Linked DNA regions of Drosophila melanogaster. The protein of the gene in region 3 interacts with the protein of the main gene of each other region in a pairwise test. Each region holds a gene or a part of one and is shown on either strand. Other genes may lie near its edges. The genes, in order: Rbp6, CG17290, FANCI and Nhe2.

Region 1 (4,724 bases), on a different chromosome or scaffold from region 3:
GATTTTTAGTGCTTGTAGAGCGAAAGTAATATAAATAAATCGAAGTAAATCTTTTTCTTCTCAAGTTGATTAAAATATATTCTCTACTTTCTGAGATACCCTTTCGCTAGGGTATACATGTACATATAAGAGCAGCACACTTACCCGGGATCATTGGGCACCTCCGAGGGGGAACAGGGTCCCAGCTCCACTTGCTGTTGCTGCTGCTGCTGCTCAATCTTGATGTCCATGTTGGGGGTTTTGGCTCGGGATTGAGATTGAGTTGGAGCTGGAGCTGGTGATTGGAGTTTGCAGTTGGGGCTGAGCTGAGCTGATGTGGTCGTCTGGCTGTCTATTCTATAATTGTTGCTCCAACGCCTTCTGTGCGAGCATCGAGATGCGAGGGGAGGTCGAGTGGTTCTGTGCGGCTGAGTGGCTGTGTTACTGGGTGTTATGTGTGGACGGGGGATGCTGCTACTACGAGTTGGCTAACAGAGTGTTCCCTTAATCATTGGCCACGATGGCTGCTAGTTGGCTGTTCGATTGGCTGCCGGATTCCTTGTTTTCCATTTGGCCTGGCTTTGGTTGGCTTTCCCGCTGATTTTCCACGGCTTTTCTCCTGCTCTAGTTATCGTTTTATTTAGCTTGTTAATTATAATTTGGTTACATTGCACACATTGAATCACATTTCTTGGTTGTTTTGGTTGTTTTGGTTGCTTCGTTTTGCAGGCCACTTTTGGTTTGGTTTAAATATTATTGTGTATTTCGTAACTATTATTTCGTTTGTTGTTTAGACTTTAAGTTTTAGAAACGTTGCGTTAACTTTGGTTGTTGGTTTCCCAATTGATTTGAAGGCAACATATTACTGCAAAAGATCTGTTTCGTTGTGTTTGGTGAAAATTAATTAAATTGCAATTTTAAACTTTGCCCAGGGAAACTTTTGAAAATGCAATTTTCCCCTTCACTCGCTCCCCCTCGCCACTCCTCGCTTTCCCACCCATCCGCAGCTGCTGCACCACCCCCACCCACCCCCTAAAATGCAATGATTCGCAACGAACAATCGTAAAATGCAAAAAAGTGCAACCGATGTGGGAGCGATAGAGAGAGAGAGGGAGGAAAACCGTGGAAAAGCCAGGTGAGGAACGGGTGGGAAAAGGGGGGCGGTTAAGTAACGGCTGAGTGACAATTGGGATGCGGTACTAAGACTGTAAAAGATCTTTGTTTGAAATAAATTTGACTCACTTTACACATATGGCATGAGCCATCAAATTAATTTTCTTAGAATAGGCGTCTCATAAAAAATTAAGAAAACTAAATATAAAAGGTTAAAGATCCAAATGTTTTTCAAAAATTATAAGTATACGTGTTTACTTATTGTGAGCTTGTGTAATAATTATAAAATTCCAAATATTTAGTAAAAAGCTCTCTACTAATTTCATAAATTCCCATCGTTGTTAAATAATCTGAACGATTTTTAACATTAAAAAGGTTTTAAGTGACACTTTTTTTTACGCCAGAAACACCTTGGTTTCCCGAACAATTTTTCGGAAATTCAAAAATGCTGGCATCCAAATTTTATAGCTTTGAACTTTTGCTTGTTAAAGCAATTATTTTCCGTTGCTTTCTCTCCGAAATTATTCGCTTTCCTATATTTTGTGTGTGTTCTTTTTTGCATTTTCTGTGCTTAATACGCGCCTTGATTTTTCCCACACCCACAACAGCAGTAAAAGCAACAACAAATAATAGAAAAAGACAGAGATAGATAGATAGGGAGGTGCGAAAGGGCAAGAAGAACATTGCATGCAGTGACTCCCTCAACAAAAATTACAACAACGCCAGCAACAATATAATAACGCGCAGCATGCAAGCTTTCACGAACAGACACGCACACACACAATCGTACATCAGCACACACACACCCGCACAGGGAACATGCACCGTTACAACGAGAGCAGAAGTTAACTGGCGGCAGCAACAAACACGTGACCCGACAATTGCAATTGCGACAATTGGCAGCACAAAATAAAACAAAATAAACGATAAACTAAAACAGAGCTAAGAGAATCGCCGACAGGGGGCGCTCGATTGATCAGTAATCGAAGTTACCGTTACCGATGTCAGCCATTTTATAAAAGTGATCACAACGAAGATCTCTAATAAAAGGAACGAAAATATTAATCAAATTTAAATTTTATGTAATACACGTGTTTGTTGATTGATTTTACACTAATTGATAAGAGATATTTTGCTTCCTATCTTAAAGCAGAATAAATGCAAATGGCAAAACAAATTTAAATATAATTTTCTTGACAAAATAAATAAACATTAGCATTAAATTCTCCTCCTTGTTCTGTTCATCCTAATGGTCACCATTTGTCATAAATACATAATTTTAATTTTCTAAGAAATCAAACAAGAAGCCTAAAGGAAAGTCTCAGGAAAAATAAAATCCAATAAATCAAACATGAAATCGCTAGGGATTCTCTGCCGCTCTCTTTCTATCGATCAAGTATGGATGTTGCCGTTATTTTGCCGGCCGGCAGCCATTTTGCAGGAAAGATCAACACAAACGCAATGTGTTAGTGAGTGTGAGTGAGAGGGAGGGCGGGGGTGCGAGGGAGAGGTTTGCGCTTTAACTCCTCTACTTCAGCGGTTATTGTAGTTGATTGCAATTAAAATCGAATGCCGCGCACTGTTACTCGTTTTCCCTATTTTTTGTATTTTGTATTTTATATTATATAATCGTCAAATTGCACTCCACACAGCCATCGAGGTAAACAAAATGCAAAATGCCCTCCACAGCAGGGGTTTTCCTTTCGGGCCTCTCGGTTATATTGGTTTGGTATCTTGTACGCGATTTGGTAGTTGTTTTGGTTAAAACGCACGCACTCCCACGAGCGGTACGAACAGCTCTGAAATCGGGCGACTCGAGAGTAATATAGAAACTGCAACGGTTAGTGCAACGCTGGCGTTCCGCTTTTCTCAGTGCGCGCACACGAACGCGACAACCAACAAGACGACACTGAGCGGCGAGACCCCAAAACCCAACTGACGGCCCCAAAACGACCGGCGGCAGCGACGTCGACTGCACTGCTGCACTCTCTGCCTTCGCTGCTGTTGCTGCTGTTGTTGTTGCCGCTGGTGCTGCCCCTACGGAGCTTTGCACCGGCAGAGGCGCCGACTGCGGCAGTTGCACTATTTACCGGCTGCACATGGCGCATGTACTTCAGCATCACAGCTGATAAGTGATAAGCCGCAGCGAGGAAGAGTAGCCGGCGAAAGTTTGCGGAGAAAGCTTACCGAAGAGAGCGGCACTCTCTTAAACCGCGTGCAGCTTTAAAAGCTCACACTGAAAAAAATTTTAACCTGGCACTATCAGTCAACTTAAGAATAAAGCTGGCTATCCCAAAGTTAAGAACAAATTTTGCATTCCAATGTTATCATAACATTTTATTGTATGAAATATACATAATGAAGCAATACATTGTATGTATTTTGCAACTTTTGCTGTTTTCGAAAACGGGTTTAAACCGTAAGGCAGTAACAACACTGATTCGATTATTTTTCGCCTTGATAACATCGTTTAATTTCGCTTTTCCACACTGACAGGTCATTTCCATTCTTTATTGCCATTTTGAAACTACGCATACGGGGAATTTAGTACAGGCTAGCACTTAATTGCTCAACACGGGAACAAGTTATCCATGTGGGTATCTTAAAATTATGCAAAAACAATAATGAACGCGTCGTGGAGAACTGTAACTCCAGAAGGTCTAGGAACTCCTTGAGCCCTGCCTTCTCGATCTGCCACATGTCGGGGTTTTCTCCGGTCCGCGTTTAGGGATTACAACAAAAACAAACAGATGTCGGCACCCTCGAACTACCACACCAAAACTCCCCATCCACATGAGCGAAGATCGTTGCCTAACTGCTCTGGGCAGTTACGGGCTTGGTGGGCGGCGATGATGGCGTGCTGCCAGCGTCCAGAGGCTCCGTTCGTTCCTTTTCCTTGTTCCAGCTCTTGAGGCCTTCGGGCAGAGTGGTGTCCTCCTCGAAGGAGCCGGTACCCTCGACGAACTCCTCGTAGGTTGACTTCTCTTTGAAGGGTCGTGGGCCCAGCAGCTCAATCATATCATCACGGCTGAGCACTTCGTTTTGGAGCAGTCTTTCCGCCACTTTTTGAACATTCTCCTTGTGCTTGGTCAGCAGACTAGTGGTGGCCTCGTGGGCACATTTGATAATCGACCTCACCTCGTTGTCGATCAGCTGCGCTGTGTCCTCCGAGTATGGTTTGCTGAAAACGGGATCACCGGCCTGGCCCACATCGAAGCTGACCTGCCCGACCTTCTCGTTCATGCCGAAACGCACCACCTGGGAGTAGGCAATATCGGTGATCTTCTTTAGATCATCCTGAGCACCAGTGGTAATGCGATTAAAGAACAGCTCTTCGGCCACACGTCCGCCGAGCGTCATGCACATGCGATCGAACAACTGCTCCTTGGACAGCAAGTAGTGATCCTTGGGCAGATACTGGGCGTAGCCCAGACCCTTGCCGCGTGGTATAATCGAGACCTTCAGCAGGGGATCTGCGTGCTCCAGGAACCAACCGGCCACCGCATGGCCAGCCTCGTGGTGTGCCACCGTTCGCTTTTCCTCCGGCGCCAGAACATTGGTCTTCTTCTCCATGCCAGCGATAACACGCTCAATGGCCTGCTCGAAGTGCTTGAGTACGATCGAATCCTTGG
Region 2 (4,604 bases), 8.2 Mb from region 3:
TAGGGCGTCGCACGTGATGTGAAATGGCAAAGGATTTGCCGGGGGAGCCGGTCGGCCAACAGGGGAGTGCACTGGACAATGGCGTCTAAATTAATTATCAAGGATAACAGCGTGAAAGGTTCAGCGACGCTGCATTGTCTCCTGGCTCCTAATTCAATTACGACAGCTGGCGGCGTGGTGGGGGCAAATTAAAAAAGGCTTAGGCCAGAGTTAATACGGACTTAAGCGGGGTAATTAAAAGCCCAAGCTGCAATTGCATTCGGGAAATGTCTTAACTCACAGCGGCTTCCAACCCCGTTTTGGAAACGGAGGGAGGGTTGCTATTCGCATTCCCCTGCCCATCGTGGCTGCCGTAAAATCACGAACTGCAAATCTCTTGAGAATAATTTGAAACATAGAACAGCCCGAGGAGCTGGAGAGGAAAGCCAAAAGACGATGCCGCCGAATCCCTTCCACATTAAAATATGATGAGCTCGTGAAGGCAACGGCACAAATGAAAACGAAGTTAATAAAAAAGGTTGTAAAGGGAGGAGGGGGCGAGCCAGGTGAGTCTCAGGTGTCTGCGGAGGGTGTCCAAAAAATAATCAACATAAAAAAGAAAATTATTTGCAATATTATCAAGAGCTACAAAAGTTACAAGGCAGACAACAGTGGAAAGCGAAACGAAGAAATGAAAATGCTGGCCATGAGAATACCAAAATGAAAATATGCCAAGGCAGTCGGAAAAATCATGTGGAATTGTTTAGCAAAAGATGAACAATAGGGATGCAATTGATAGCTTATAACAATAGTAACAATGTGAGCTATTAAATACATTCATATATAAGATAATCGTTATGTTCAAGCATTTTGTTTTAAACAGTTGAATTTTCCTTAAAAGTGTATTTTATCAAAAAATTCTTTTAATTTTATCAATATCTGCCGAGTTTGAACAAAAATAAATTATATTTAAATTTTTCTATGTACAATTTTAAGTGAGCTACAATAAATTAAGCCCCCCGAATTTTCCCACTGTTTAATTTCAGATAGATTTTCACAGAACATTTGCGTCCACTTAAACTTCGCAACTGCAGTTCCTTTTCGAGTTTTGTAATTGGGGTTAGGTCCAGCAATAAACACCAGCCGTTTAATCACAACGAAGCCAAATAAACCAGCTAAAGTGAGATGCAAATTAAATTTGGTTTTAATCAAGCAGAGCCAGAGACTCATGTATTTTCCATGCGGGGGCCGAGCCACAAGGCCGTGTTCAACAAGCAAATCAATTAAAGGGCTGCGCCTCGAGCGTCAAACAAAAGGCAAAAGTCAAGATTTTTGATACGAATTTGACCTCAAACGAAGTCATCACTTGACCACTTTTAAAAAGACAATGGGACAAGCGATGCATTAGGCAAACAAAAGCAAATACACGAAACGTGATCAAAGTTTTTCCATTCGATTTATGGCTTGTGCATCCAAAACTGCCGGACAACCGGTTCGATGCGGCCGGATTCATCGATCAAGTCATTGGTGAGCGATTGAAGATCAGCAACAGATCAAGTTCAAAGTCATTTGGATCTAGTGTTGCTTCCGTTGCCGTCGGCAAGAGTTGGCCAAACAGTTTTGGGCATATAAAAGCCATCGGAGATCATCGCATTCACAGCACACATCTTTCGTTGAGCGCAGTCTAAACACTTGAAATCATGGTGAGTTGCTGGGTTTTCGCTCTAACAAATATTTATCTTTGCCTTTCCAACGATTGTTTTTTTAACATTTGCTTTATATTTTTTATATATTCAGAAATTCCTGATCATTGCCATCGCCTTCTTGGCCTGCGCATTCGCCGATGTCTCGGAGCTTTCTGGCTACGACTACCAGCAGCCAGCTCCTGCTCCCGTGGAAACCTACATCCCACCTGCACCGCCAGCACCTGCTCCCGTCGAGACCTACATCCCACCTGCACCACCAGCACCCGAGTACATCCCACCTGCTCCTGTCCAGGCCGAGGAACCCATCATCGAGGAGATCGAGCAGCCCGCCCAGGACGGCTACCGCTACAAGACCGTCCGCCGCCACGTCTTCCGTCACCGCAACTAAGATGAAAGCCATTTGTTATTGTTAATTTGTTGACTCGAGTGCAATTGCTGAATACCATCTTTAGAAATTCACTTGGAGAGTAAATATCTATCTGTGAAAAATTATTCGTTGTCTTGTCCTTCTTTGGTTGCTATCAAAGTTGAGTTCGCAGGAAAATATACTACAAAATTTAAAACTATACATAAAATACTTCCTAATCGATGTATGGAAGGACAATTTTTAAATTCAATCGCCTTATCAACAGGTTCCCATCGTCCAAGTGCCCAAGTTCAATTTGCAATGCCAAAGTCGCCATTTGAATGGGGTTTCCTTGGCGATAACCATCGCCCCCTCTGGTTTTTCCGTCATCCAACCCTCTTTAACCCCGACCAACCCACAAAGGCCTAAACAAACCGCTCAAGGACAAACACATGTTCTGGCCAACACTGGCATTCCAATGAATTCTCTCCCCATTTCGAAAGTCTGGCAGTAAAAAGGTCAAACCGTCGACTAGACCAATTTGACTTAACCAAAAATTGCTGAAACATTCAATGAGCAGGGACAAAAAGCGCTTCCCCTTCCCGGCAATCGATTGGCTTGGACTCAGCCAAAGCAAACAAATCCTCGATTACAAAATCAAACAGAGGACAAAAACAAAGGATGCCGAAATGGAAAAAATGTTTGCCCATAATGCAAAATGGGAAAATATGCGAATTCAATAAGCTGCGAGCGGTTGCTTGGTTAGCTTGGCTGGCTGGACAGAAAGGGCGATGGCGACAAGGACATGTGGCTGGGCAGGATACCTCGTCTCCTCCGTCTGACGGCGCTTACAAGTCATTTGGGCCAATTGCTGTTGACTCTGCGCTCTAAGGCGAATTTCCGCTGCGAAGTTCACATATTTTGCACTCACTTTATGCTGATGACATGCAAGTGGCAAAAATTATTTGCGCTCGTGCATTTGGCGACCAACTACAGCCACGTCTCCGAACCAGCCAACGTCGAATAATGAGCAGCAAACAAGCTGTGGAAATCAGCAAGCTATGGTCTAGGCACTGGGAAAAATTCTAGTTAAATATAATAAAATATTGCAATAGAAGTAGGAAATAATGCTAATTGATGATAAATCCATTATGAAATGACAGAAGTGGGAGAAGATTGTTCTGCTACGAAAAAACGTACCTATCATATTAAACTTCTTTCCGGCTTTTCCCAGTGCATGCGAGAACGGGAACAGACTACAGGAGCATGAAGAAAAAATGCCGCCCGACGGCAGACAGCTCCCATTTCCATTTCCATCGTCTTCTTTGTCGTGACATACGGAAAATTCCCCACGGAGTCTATCAACAGTTGATAAAGCAAAATGTGCGTAGAGTCAGCCGGAGAAATGGTAGGACCCTGGATGGCATTCTTTTCCTTTTTGGTATGTACATAAGTTTATTATTTTGAAGGTAATTGGATTTGTGTTGCAGCAGTCAAGAAGTCGCCGCAGCATAATAAGAAAATATAGACGAGGACATTGAACTTGGGGGCGCGACAATCCCAACATATGCTCAGTGCCCAAGGAATCGCCTCTGGCCGGGGAGTCCATCCGCTGGACATCGCACATTGGTCAATGGCCATTGTTTGCACTCGTAATTGTTTTCCTAATGGATAAAGTCTATAAATTTCTGCGACCGACACCCGGCCAAATGCGAAATATGTCACGAATGTTAAGCGCTTTATAAACGACTCCAATGCGTTTGTGGGCAGGAGCGGACTAGAGAACCGGAATGTCGAGGATTTATCGATGTTGGCCACTCAGCGGGTCGAAGAAAAGGCCAGCGGATTGCAATTGCCAAGCGGATGGAGTCAGATCCTGATGCACTTGCCAATGACTCGTAAATTAAGACGTTGATGGAGTTCCCCCTTTTCGAATTGTCTACGGGAGCTGTCTCCTCGAAATTTTTTTGTTTCGCTTTCCTTGATTTGAAATGGAAAATGAGAAAATTTAAGACACATAAATTTCAATAACAGTGCATCGTAATAAAAATTTAACATTGCTCTTTTATTTTAAGCGAACCTATTCTTCATTGAAAGGTGGCTGATGAATTCCGAGAATTCGATTCATGTTTTCCTTGTACATCTGAGTTCTGGTGGGTTGATTATCTTTTTTCTGGTTACCGGTACGGACTTCCTTTAGTCGATCGTGGGCCAAGGGGAATGAAAATCCGTCACCACGACTAGAGAAGATCGGAAAGGGCCAGAGGTACCACTTATCGCCATAAAGGTCACGAAAATTAACAAAATATCCCAAATTGAAACCATTATTGTTCTTGCCGCCAAGAAGAAAGTATGTGGCATAAGCCGACTCCATAGTGGTGCGATTTCGAGATACGTTTAACAAGCTGACAGTGTACATAATCACGGTGAATATGTTAAAGAGTATGCATACCAAGTACTGAAGAATGTTCCAGGAATGCTGATTTTTCAGGGCAGTAACTTCAAAGCCACAAATCAGGTACAAATCATAGACCATTACGCAGAACAGATAAAAGCAATATACTTCAGCGTAA
Region 3 (7,508 bases):
TTTGTCCAAAGGGGCAGGCGTAGTCCCCAGTTTCCTGTGGAGCGACCTTGGCAAAGGGCTTTGAAGGACTGATTGTTGAAAGGGACAGCCGCAGCATCAAAGATGGCCGCGTCCAGGGAGAAAACTTCGTGGCTCGTGACGATCAAGCAGGAATTTGGGATGATAGTGTGTCGGTGTGGAAGCGTCCGGATGGACGAACTGTCTCGGTGGGCAATGACGGAAGTGTTATTGTTTCTGGACATGGGCACACGCTGCAAGTGAGTACATTGTTTAATTTATCAAGTTTCGCTTATGAATATACTTATATATATTTTTTATTTGCAGTACTAATAAATAATGGGAAGCAGCCTTTTAATTTACAGAGATTAGGTAGCTAAAATTCCAATGATATTAAATGAACAAGATTCACAAAAACATTGAACAATTTTTCTTTTTGAACATGTGGAAATTCTAGAAAACAGCAATACAGCACATAATGAAAATTAAGTAATTGCGATAATCGCAACCATTTTTGAATAAGCAATGGACTGGCATGATTTAAATACATATACTTTTTAATATACTTTTTTTTAACAAAACATCATTTCCTTAATGTACGAGGTATTCCCAGTCTACGACTAGGTTGTGGTTTCTTCTTCTCAGCGGGCACTTCGGGAACGCAAAGATCCACTTTGGCTGGCTCCGCTGTTTGCTTATCCGCTGGACCTTTTGACCTTTTACTGGTACGACTCTCATGGGATGGCTGCTCCTCGGGTTTTTTAATGGCCACACTCCTTTTGGTTTTTGGCTCCACTTTTTTGTTTCGCCTTAATTTTAAAGTCGTTTCAGGCTGCTCTTCCTCGACTTGCTCTTCATCTTCAGCTTCCAGCTGTTCTGCAGCTTTGCGGCCTCTTTTTCGTTTGGGTTGTGGATCCTCTGCTTCACTGCTAGGTGCACGCCTCCTGCGCCTTTCTTCCTTCTTCTCTATGACTAAGCATTCATCTTCCTTCTCCTCCAAGTCCTCTGGATACGTGGTGGACTGTGCGTCATCGTCTTCCTCTACATTCTCATTTTCATCCTCATCCTCATCCCGATCCTCAGCATTACTGTCTTCGGTAGAAATGTTGCGGCCATCCGAGATACTACGCTCTATAGCTGCCCTCAAATCCGTCGACTTGATATCGAAGTCGCGCATGGTTCCCAAGTGGAGGTAGTCCGTAAGTCTATTCTTGCTTTTGGTCTTTTTGGACAGGAGAATAATGTGCTTATTGAAGTCCTCGATAACCATTATAACCTTGGGAATTAGCCGAGTCTCTCTCAGAACTTTAGCACGTTCTGCCTGGACCTTCCGCTTTTTTGTATGCTGCTGCGCTTCCTCATCCAGGGTATTAGCTTCTATGTACGTGATGAGCTCGTAAATATTCGCCGGAAGTTGTTTACCAACTGCACGTAGCAGAAGTTCAAATCTGTTGGAGAATAAAATGCAGATTAGATATCCATTAAATCTACGACTAGATGGACTCACTTGGTGCTTTTAATGTTCTCAATGGACGTATCTGATGTGTAGCTCGATATGTAGTGCTTGGTCAGGCTTTTCAAACAAGTGTAGTGCTGAATCAACAACTTCATAAGACCGTCCATCAAAGAACCTAGAGGAATACAAACGTTTGTGAGCACCAGCAAAGTGCGACTTATGTGGATTATTTGTGTGCAAATGGAACGATCCATGGAATCCAGGTTGCCCCGCCAATATATCTGGTCAATTTCGGGAACCACTTGGCATTTGTAGTTTAGATTGTTGGCTTTCGTCACAAAGTAGTCCACATCGTTCAGCTGCTTTTGGATGGCAGCATACAGATGCTGTAGGCAACTCTCGATGGTCACTGTACTTATGGACTTTAGAGTTAGCTCCACAGATTCTGAGGGAGCGTCTTCATTTTGTACGCCCAGTACGTGACCCAATTGCCGAGCAACACTGTCGAAGAAGGGACCTAAGTGGGTCTTTTGACGCTGAACGAATAGCATTCTGTGCACCAGGCCCATTTCACTGTTGAGAATCTCGTTTTTGCTGCAAAAATTTAGCAGCCAAGTGTACGATTCGGTGGCAGCACGATCCTGGTAGTCAATGTGATCCAAAAGAATTTCAAGCGACTCCAAGAGGTAAACAGGCAATTTGGAAACGAACTCATTTTTACAAATCGAATCATCAGTGCCGTACTCCGTCATAAAGTCGTCTAAAACATCCTGAATTGTGTAAACCACTTCCTTGTTTCTGCTTCCCTTTATAGATGCCAAATCTAAAAGTTTTACCATAGTTTAGATTATCCTCATATACTTAGCATGACTTAACTTACCAAATGACTTGACAAAATCTTCGAACTTCTTTGAGTACGTTTCATGAGCTGTTTTTAGGCATTCAGAAAAACACTGAGTGGCTAGGGCGGCGCTCTGCATGTCGAAATTTTTCCACAGCTCCGGCAAGCGTTGAATGCAGCGCTCGTAAATGACCTTTGTAATGTCCGTCAATTGCTTAAAGGTGCGTTTACTGTAGGCCAACTGCTTATAATCGGGCTCCAGGCGTATAGACTCCACTCTGCTGGCCGTTACGGATAAAACATACCGGACGAGGGGCTCGTTGGAGCGCAAGAGCACTGTTTTTTCTGGAGCAGCAAAGGCTACGACGTCACTAAATGGAAAATTGAAAACAGTTTTAAGAAGTAGAAAGGATTAACGTCAAGGTTACTAACTCAAGAAGTAGATGGAGCAGCTTATCCAATATGGCCAAGTCCCAAATATTATCAGGCTGTGTACACATGGTCTTCACCGGGACGCCGTTCAGTGTCAAATTGCACGTTGATGTGCTATTATTCTTGGCGGTTTGCTTCAACTGTTTATGGGCTTTCTTGGATGCATCCGATAATGCCTTAAGACTCTCCAAAAGCTTACAATGCTGATTAAAAAGAGGCAATATTTGACAAACAGCATTGTTTTGTGGCTTGGATTTGAGCAATAAGTGGCAAATAATTCCTTCAATGATATTCAGTTGCTGCAGAACGAGGGCACATTTTAGATGTGTGGCTGGCGGCGTCTGAAATCAGTTGGCATTAGTTTATTGAAATTTAAAAGTAATAATCTTGCTCACTATCTCTTCCAGGGGTAATCTGTTTGCCACCATACGATCCACACAGAAACTCATGAGCCGATTCATCTCACGAGTGTCGTAGCCCGATGGAGCTCGATCGAAAACAGCCAAGCAGTTGGCCACGAACTGAATCAACTTGCCCAGGTTGTCTTTAAGCTGAATCTCCATGTGTTGATCATCGCTAGAGCTAACCAATTGATCGTAGCGAATGCGGAATACTGTGTCTAGATCGTCACCAGCATCCTCTGCAGAGGGGGTGTCGAAGAAGCTGCGAAAGTGCCAGTCAATGACTTGCAGCACATGTGGCACTAGTTTAGCATTGAGCTCCACTGCTCTCTGAAGATCTATTTGAAATGCATTATTAGAAGTTGTATTATTTGATTTCATTCGACTCACTTTCATACAGGGAGCACCGTATATCGAATTGTTGTTGCAAGCAGTTTCGCAACATTCCAATAATTTCCAACGTGAGCATGTCGAAATTTCTTTGAGGATTACTACGACTTCCCAGTGTGTTCTGGGTCATTATGGAGTAGCCAGAGATACTGTGTTGAGTGCAGAAACTGGTGGCGCTGGAGGTCTGGCGCACAGCATTGCTGTTGTTTAGTTGTTTGAGGATCATGCAGAACCCATAAATCGCCATTCGCCGTTTTTGAATTCCACTAAAATATAAAGTGCAGAATAAAAAGTAAATACAGTACCACGAACAGGTAATTAGACCCACCTCGAGCTCATTGCTTTGCAAAGTACATCAATTAGCGCATCACGGACGCGATTAGAGATCTTTAGCAAAGGTAGAATAAAGTTCATCATGCGCATGGACTGCTCACCAGACAGCTAAAATATTTACAACGGAGTTAGCTTAAAGAACAATTATGCCATTGGACTAACTTGCCCATTGCATGTGCTCCAAAACAGATTGAATTGGTTTCATGCACTCGGAGACCGTATACGTATCAGCCACACTTAGAAGTGTGAGGCATTCTGCAAATATGTATTCTTGTTGCATAGAATTATTAAGAACATTTTGCTTGACCTACCCGAGAACTGATTTTGTTCCTGGTATACTATCATCCACTCTGAAATAAGCTTTATGATGCCTTGTCCAAAAATGAATCGCTTGCGAATGAACTTGGTTAGAAATGTGATGGCCAATGTGTGCATCTTGGGCGATTGCGATTTCAGCAAGTAAAATACGAGATGAACCAGCCCAGGAGTTATCACATCCTTGCCGTCTTTGTTCTGATCAATGAGCACCGTGAGGACCTGCTGCAAATCGACTTGCTTGCGTTGCAATGTATCCCGATACCACACGGAGTAGTCGGCTAACGTTCGCTCTTCCTCGTTGTTTTTGATCACATTGCGCAAAAAAGGTAGCAAAATGGAATGAGATATTCTAGCGGACTCTGGATCGCGATTAATGCTGGTCATCGAGATAATGGCGCTAAGCATAAACGGAGTTAGGATCACATCGGGCATGTGCAGAAAGTTCTGAAACATGGTTAGTTAAGTTACTAAGCGATCGATTGATTTGGGACCTGCTTACTCTCAGCATTATGGCCAAATGTTTTTCAGTAAGTTTGTACATAGTACAGTAGTTCAAGTGATGCAGGATAGTCTCTTCGGCCTCCCTTAGTTCCTTGTCCGAGAACAAGTCTAAAGATCAGATGCTGTCAATTTCTAGGAATATAGTCTTCTATATGGTGCAGGCTCACCAATGCTATCCAAGTTCGTTGAGTTGCTACACATGTCTGAGAAGAGCCGCTTGTAGTAGTTGCGATGGAAATACTTCTCCAGGGCCAGCAACGGAATGATCAACTGGGAAGCAGTGCTGCACATCGAAAAGAGCTGGAAGCACAGCGCTGGGAGTTCCATGGGAGATAGCTCCTGCAGGGCGCCAGAGAATTTGTTGAGTACTGTCACAATTTCGCCACTGCTAAGATTCATGGTCCTAGGGGGATTGTATGAGTTGTGTGGTTAAATTGTGGTTAATTTAAGGGTGGTCACCCACTTGAACATGTCGGCAATTGGCGTGAGGATTGAGGCTGGCCATTGCATGGTGGCAATGCTCCTTACGGTAGTGTCCCTGAACTCCATTCCATCTATGGATATGCCGTTCAGAAGAAACCGCGGTCTGGCCAAAAGCAGCGACAGCGCGTCCGGCAGCAAATCCTTCCAGCCGACGCACTTGGCGTCTCCTTGTCGGATCCCGTCCATGCAGTGCTCCACGATCCAGGCCAGCTGCTCGGACGGAAAGGTGGCCAGGTCCTGCGACAGGCGCGTGATCAGATCGAAAGTCTGTTTGTAGCTCAGTTCCGTGCTGCTCAGTCCGTCCATGAAGCTGCGGACACATTCGAATCGCTTGGCTAGCGCATCCTTGCTCTCCGGATTGAAGCCACGGAGAAGGTAGTTCCAATACGTTATGCCCTCGCTGCGTGTCATTGTGGATTTAAGGGTTTCCTTTAACTATCAAGCAATGTTTATCAATTAAGATTTATATTGCCTTCCGCCTTATGGGTCCAACCTTTTCTATTGGAGTGTTTTGAATGAGCAGTTCCAGCTCATCAAAGCGCGCCTTCTCACCCAGACTCCGCATCCACGTTAGAATTGATTCGCGTGCCATACCCAACTAAATTTATGTAATAATTTACGATTTAAACAAAGACGCGCCAGATTTCACCAACTACCACAAATTAGGAATGGTAAATGCCTGATATGATTACCGATTGCACCACCCACTGATATCGATAGCATGCAATTGGCGGGAATTTTAAAAAAATCCATAAATAGTGATAACAGTAATCTTTTCCATAAAACATTTAATTTTCAATTTCAAAACTAAGAAATAGGCATTCTATATTTCTAATTGAAATATAAAAACTATTTCAATGAAACCCAATGGAAAATAGCTTTAAATTTGTAGTTTAAGAAAAAATTTATTTGTCTACTCCATATAGAAAATCAAACAGGTTGTTTTTCCATAAAATAACAAAAACAAAAAATATGGTTGTATGTTTTACGATGATAATGCTCACAACAGTAAATAAACAAAAGTAGTTATATCTACACTTGGATTTTCAGTACAAAAGCGGACTCTTCGAAAGAGTAACCAAAGAGCGTTGGAGTCGAACGGAAAGCTCTGCTGGCTCTTAGATGGGAGTATTGTCTAGTATTCGCTTCCCTTCGCCCGCTTCGGACTACAAAGTGGCACCATATAAATCCAAAAGCTGGACTGCAGCGCCAACAGTTGCGTGAAGACAATCGCCAAGTGATCAAGTGAATTAAATACGAAGCTAAATCAAGTACACAAAATGCGCGGACAACTGAAAGAGTACGTTGGAGTGGCAGTGGTGCTGATCCTGCTGGCGGGGATCAGATGGAGCGAGGCGTTTCCCATGGACCTCTACGACGACGTGAGCGACTTCTTTGACGCCATCTCGCTGGACGATGTGGCCAATACCGGGCGCAACACCCATCCGGAGCAGTTCTGCCTCATGCCGGCACGCAAGGGCGTCTGCCGCGCCCTGATCCCCCGTTGGCGCTACGATCCGGAGCAGAAGAAGTGCGTGGAGTTCAAGTTCGGCGGCTGTGACGGCAACGAGAACAACTTCGCCAGCTACAAGGACTGCATGTCCACCTGCGAGGGCATGTAGGGCTCTCCGCATCCGCATACGCATTCCGATCCGGATAGCGATCGGTCCTCCGCGACCGATGTGTTGCCAAAGGCGGCTGCTTCCCCTCGAGCTCTGCAATCCAGCGAACCAAAGGCAGCATTCTCCACACCCAAACTCACACACAAACATCACAATCCATGCGACTAACCGTCCCTTCTTCTACCTAATATTTATGTAGTTTCTGTCATTGAATCCATCTACTTTGTACTTTCCTGGGTGTGTCCGTCCAGCACTCACCACCCATCTAGAGCTTAAGTTATTGTGATAAAATACTTGTATGGAATAAAGAGTTTTTTATAACGACCAACTCGATGTGGTGTTCACTGATGTGGGAGAGGTCTACTGATCATCTGAAGCTCACAAATATTTCCTAGAATCTGGAAGATGCTTAAAAAATTAATACCTATAGTATACTATGTATAGTATACTATTTTGGAATCTGGAAGATGCTTAAAAAGTTAATACCTATACTATACTATGCATACTATACTATTTTAGTGCATTTTTTAGTAATCACATAACAAATTTAATAAAAGAACCCTTAAATAGCAACTATTCTTGGTAAAAACAAAACAATGCTATCTTATCCAAATTTCTAGACAATTCTAGCAACTACGAATGTTTGTTTGTTGACTTTCAATCGATTGGAGCCTGCAAAATTCCATTCAGCGATAGACAACTGGTTTATTTTTTTGAATATTTATAAACATTAT
Region 4 (4,641 bases), on a different chromosome or scaffold from region 3:
AATGGCAAGCTATGGAATAAGTACAAACAGATTCCTTAAAAATCCGGGTAATAAAAATATTTCAATTAACTAACAAATAATTATTATATTATCTATCACAGGCCGACTTTGATGTTTATCTTAGAGATACCAAAAAGAAAGCAGTGCAAAATTCCCCTAGATAAACGCACATACGTAAACAAACCACCGTTAATACTACGTCCCATACTTAAGTATAAGTTGTTATTGACCAAAAATACCTGACCAGTAAGTGAAAAAGCCCAGCTTAAGTGACCTTAGTTAGAGTCTATAATGAAAGCCGTTTCCTAGATGAGATCACTGCACTGATAAAATATTTCATGCAGTTGGTCTGCTGGCTCGACTGGACGTAATTAAAAGCTCAAAAGTCGATTTTCTATATTTTTCGTTTAATTCCTAAATGGATTTTGGTAAATATCATACGAACGGACTACTTGAGATATTTCTTAACTGTTTACAGGTCAAACAAAATGAACAATTGTTCAAAAGTGGCCAAGGTCTAATGATTTAATTTAAGTCTCATCATCGAATCTTGTTGTTGTACAAGGACATGTCACATTTTATCAGTATAATCCAAATGAGCTTTGGAACTCATAGTACTTACCGTGGTTAACAATATGCGCTGGTCAGCAGGCCACACAAAACAAAACGTTAATTGAAATGGATTGTTTTCTAAACGAATTACATACATATATGTACATACATATATCTGTTTACCCAGGTATCAATTTGCCTAGGAATTCACGGTTCTTTCCTGATACCCAGGTATCAATTTGCCTAGGAATTCACGGTGTTTTCCTGTTTCTCAGAGTTATTATTATTGCTATCATTTTTACAAGGCTACTGACCAGCACCTTCACAGGTAAGGGCTTATATTTATGAAACACGTTAGATAACGAATTGTATACTGTTTACATTCATTTTCATAGATAATTCGGTGTGAGTTCATATCTTAATTTATTGGCTGATAATTGATAATGAAATCAACTTGATTGACGATTTAATTCTGAAAAAAAATTTTGACAGGCCTTTGTGGCAAAATATGCACAAACATGTATATGTATATGTATGTATCTACATATATATATATGTATCTATATCTTTAGGTATATAATATGTATATATGTACATATTGGAGGAATTTATGTCAGCGCTATATTCAGCCCATGTGAGTTTTTGGTTATATGTGCATGTTTGATTAAACGAAACGTGTTTCTTGACTCATCGAGTAAAGTTCGTCTCTTAGCATCTCTTAGCACAAACAATAATTTTGGAAGTAATCATAAAAAAAGTAATTAAAAGAATTCGGCGTTCCTTAATCGTGATTTGTCTTTTCCCATGTTAATAAAAATGGTAGACTAAAGTAATTCAACTTATTTTGTTTAAAATTTTTCGGTTGGAAAATTATTTAAGGGTCTAATAATTCTATGAATACATAAGCATCCGGCATAATAAGATTTACATAGCTATATAAAGAATTTTTAAATCTGATGAGTCAGTGGAAAGAATCGGGTTTGCGTGAAGCAAGATTCAGGAGCACATATGTACATATGTACATACTCGTATGTACATACATATGTTGCCATGCTGCTCCATGTTATCAGACTGCACTATGGGAAATTTGAACACTTTTTCTGGCCAAAATTAAAAACTCCAGAACGGGGAGAGATGTTAAGATAATTTTTATTCCATTGGGTTACACTACCACACATCTTTTATAGTACCAAAAATTGTGGGCGTGGCACCGCCTTTCATATTTTTGTAGTTTGTAACTCCAGAACGGATTAAGATATTTAATTTATTTTATACAAACCACACAGAATAAAATTCATTTTGCAGAATTAAAAAAAATGCTTTGTTCGTTTCAGACAAACATATTTTCTGAGTGCAACAGCTGTTTTCAACAGCTGATTTCTTTGTTGTGGCGCCCTCTATATTTATTTCTAATATCCAGAACTAAACATTGGTCAATGCATACATGCATAAATTTAATATTATCTTCCTCATCGATCGACTTTCATAAAATAGGTTTTGGCCAAAAAAAGGGGGTAAATTTCCCATAGTCGACTGGCGACAAGAAATATGTAGACACATGTAGGCCGAGCCAGCAACAATTACAAATGTTTTCTATGTAGGCAAAAGACACTTGGGATTTCGGAATGCGAAGCGGGAGCGAATAAGTGGAGCAAGACGAATGGAGAATTGAAAACAAGATCGACTGAGCCGGCAAAAGACCAAAATAAACTCAAGTGCACTCTCTGTAGACGTCAAAAAATAAGTAATAGAGGAAAAACAGTCTTGTGGAAACGTGAAAAATATAGAAGATGGTCTATAAATACACGAGGAATACAGCGCAAACATCTGCATAACCTGCAAATATTTATCTTACGTACAAGTACGTAGTATCTGCATCAGAGAAATGTATCTTTTAGATTTTTTTCTAGTTACTAATATTTAGGAAAATAAAATCCACATCGGGATGTATACTATATTGACCAGCACTTGTTAATATATTTCAAAGGTACAAATTCTTAGATTAAGATTGGTTTTCAGTGTAGATTGAACTTCATTACGCACGTTTTTCTTCTTTCTTCGTATTCCTTTTCGGCAACAAATCAGCCGGCAGCTGTTATTTCTTTTCCACTGGGTTTCTCACGCTCTCCTCCTCCTCCTCTTTCTCACCCACTCTCGGGCCGCTTCCGATTTTGTTTTGATTCACACTGCAGACGTGTGCAATAAATAATGCTTTCTAATTCATGCCTGTCTAACTGCACAAAATAGCATTAATATTTATTGACTGAAGAGGGCGTAGATACATACGTATACGTATGTTTACACATTACGAGTATAAAAACACACAACCTTAAAAGTAAGGAAAAAACACGGCTTGCTTCGGTTCGATTTGCATATTTAAAAAGTTTCCCGAAACGTATCCGAATTGTTCCCAAATAAAGTGTAGTGGAAAATCGAATTTTGCGACCGAGCCGGAAAAATGAAAACAGTTGCGCGCTCAACAGTCGAGAACTGAATGAATGCGAGAATTGGTGGAAAATATATTCGAAAAATATCGGCCTGATAACAGAGGTGCTCCAGCTGTTAGCGTGGGTCTGTAAGCCGGATTAACAGCTGTTAGGCATAGGAAGAGTATATGCAAATAAAAGCAAAAAGTGGTGCCAACTAAAATATCTAGTAACTATCCCTCATCCTTCAAGAGTCCAAAGAAGAATGCATTGCTGTATTTATTATGGTATATTACATATGTTATTATATTAAATGAATATATCCCGGAATGTTGTGATTTGGGACCAATTAAATAAATAGGTAAATTAAATGAACAGAAAAGGGCTTAAAAAGAAAATTTTTTTATATTCGTCATAGAAACTATATTTTTATCTCCCCCTCAACAAGCGAACCCAATAAAACCATAACATATGCACATATATGTGAACATAGTATGCTCTTCTGTCTCAAAGTAAAAACGCCAAACACAAAGCTAGCTGAAATTCAAAAGGACATCGTTGGCAATTTCCTAGCATTGTGGACACTGTTGTGCAGTTAATTGAAATGAATAATTGCTGCTACAAGTGAAGTTGACCGACCACCAAAAGGGCAGGAAAGCCGTCTTCTCTGCAATGGAAATTGATTTTTTTTGGAGGCACAACATGGCTGCGGGCCGGGCCTGTGTGCAAGGATAACAACACGATTGTAATTCCTTGATAATTGCAAAGGGCATGGAGCAACTAAGTGAGAGCAGCACTTTCGATGCAAGCATTTCAATAACGTGGCATTTCAATAATATCGATCCACAGTTGGCCTCTGATGGCGTGGGTGCAGCTCTATTATCTTGGTCTGAAAACACGACTGCGGCGTCCCATTATCCTTGTACTTGAACGACTGCAGCTAAGTGCACGTAATGGAATCCAAAGACTGGGGGTTCATTTGGCGAAACTGCATCGTCTGCTGCCTTGATTGGGTGGTCCTAACGGCGATTTTATGGATCAAAAGAGAGCATTGCTACACTGCAAAAACACTGGCACGATGGCAATTGTACAGAAAAACTTATTTTCAAGTTAAGGAATAAATGGGAAAAGTTAAAATTTGATATTTGCAGAGGGTTTACCCTGTGATTTGTTTACAATCGAACAATTTTCTTTGTATTTCCTATAATTTTTCTAGTGGTTTAGAGAGCTAAAAATCGTTGAATAATTTTTTCCAATATATATATATATATATGTATATATATAGGTTCATTAGACTCAATATTTTGTGCGTGTGTGCGGTTTAAACTTTCAGCCTGAAAAATAGCAATAACAGTAATAACGACCAGCACGCCTTAAAGCTTTTCCGCCACAGCCACCGGCTATTATGTAAGCCTCAGAATTTTCCGAAGGACACGCGGCAGGACGAACCGAAATAGTAAATCAGACAGCCCCTCCATCTCCTTTGCTACCATTTATCAGACAGATTGAAAGCCATTGGAAACAGAATAAAACTATTTTATTACACATAACACATTTGCAATGGCCATGGACGAAGGACAAAGGACACATAACGCGGCGAATAAGTAAGTCGGGCTAGTCGAAGCTATATACCCTTGCAGTGTTGCCGAACAGTAAAATTGTT

What was found.
Region 1: the proteins of FANCI (region 3) and Rbp6 interact in a two-hybrid assay, tested with the Drosophila melanogaster proteins (one large-scale study listed by BioGRID).
Region 2: the proteins of FANCI (region 3) and CG17290 interact in a two-hybrid assay, tested with the Drosophila melanogaster proteins (one large-scale study listed by BioGRID).
Region 4: the proteins of FANCI (region 3) and Nhe2 interact in a two-hybrid assay, tested with the Drosophila melanogaster proteins (one large-scale study listed by BioGRID).

What each region holds. Positions count from the first base shown.
Region 1 is NT_037436.4:17,235,208-17,239,931, forward strand, and holds the start of Rbp6 (RNA-binding protein 6), read right to left. Parts: upstream 3,006-4,724; 5' UTR 2,625-3,005; intron 856-2,624; 5' UTR 231-855; coding exon 145-230; intron 1-144. Other genes in the region: Afg3l2 (AFG3 like matrix AAA peptidase subunit 2), read right to left, coding at 3,904-4,724. UniProt on the Drosophila melanogaster protein: RNA binding protein that regulates the expression of target mRNAs at the translation level. May play a role in the proliferation and maintenance of stem cells in the central nervous system.
Region 2 is NT_033778.4:17,153,063-17,157,666, forward strand, and holds CG17290 (uncharacterized protein), read left to right. Parts: upstream 1-1,526; 5' UTR 1,527-1,679; coding exon 1,680-1,682; intron 1,683-1,776; coding exon 1,777-2,073; 3' UTR 2,074-4,063; downstream 4,064-4,604. Other genes in the region: CG17287 (uncharacterized protein), read right to left, coding at 4,112-4,604.
Region 3 is NT_033778.4:8,934,037-8,941,544, forward strand, and holds FANCI (fanconi anemia complementation group I), read right to left. Parts: upstream 5,754-7,508; 5' UTR 5,718-5,753; coding exon 5,646-5,717; intron 5,588-5,645; coding exon 5,133-5,587; intron 5,073-5,132; coding exon 4,837-5,072; intron 4,778-4,836; coding exon 4,668-4,777; intron 4,613-4,667; coding exon 4,162-4,612; intron 4,106-4,161; coding exon 4,017-4,105; intron 3,959-4,016; coding exon 3,846-3,958; intron 3,784-3,845; coding exon 3,518-3,783; intron 3,466-3,517; coding exon 3,122-3,465; intron 3,068-3,121; coding exon 2,727-3,067; intron 2,666-2,726; coding exon 2,334-2,665; intron 2,277-2,333; coding exon 1,505-2,276; intron 1,446-1,504; coding exon 581-1,445; 3' UTR 540-580; downstream 1-539. Other genes in the region: CG13748 (uncharacterized protein), read left to right, coding at 6,433-6,774.
Region 4 is NT_033779.5:21,106,182-21,110,822, reverse strand, and holds the start of Nhe2 (Na[+]/H[+] hydrogen exchanger 2), read right to left. Parts: upstream 3,043-4,641; 5' UTR 2,596-3,042; intron 1-2,595.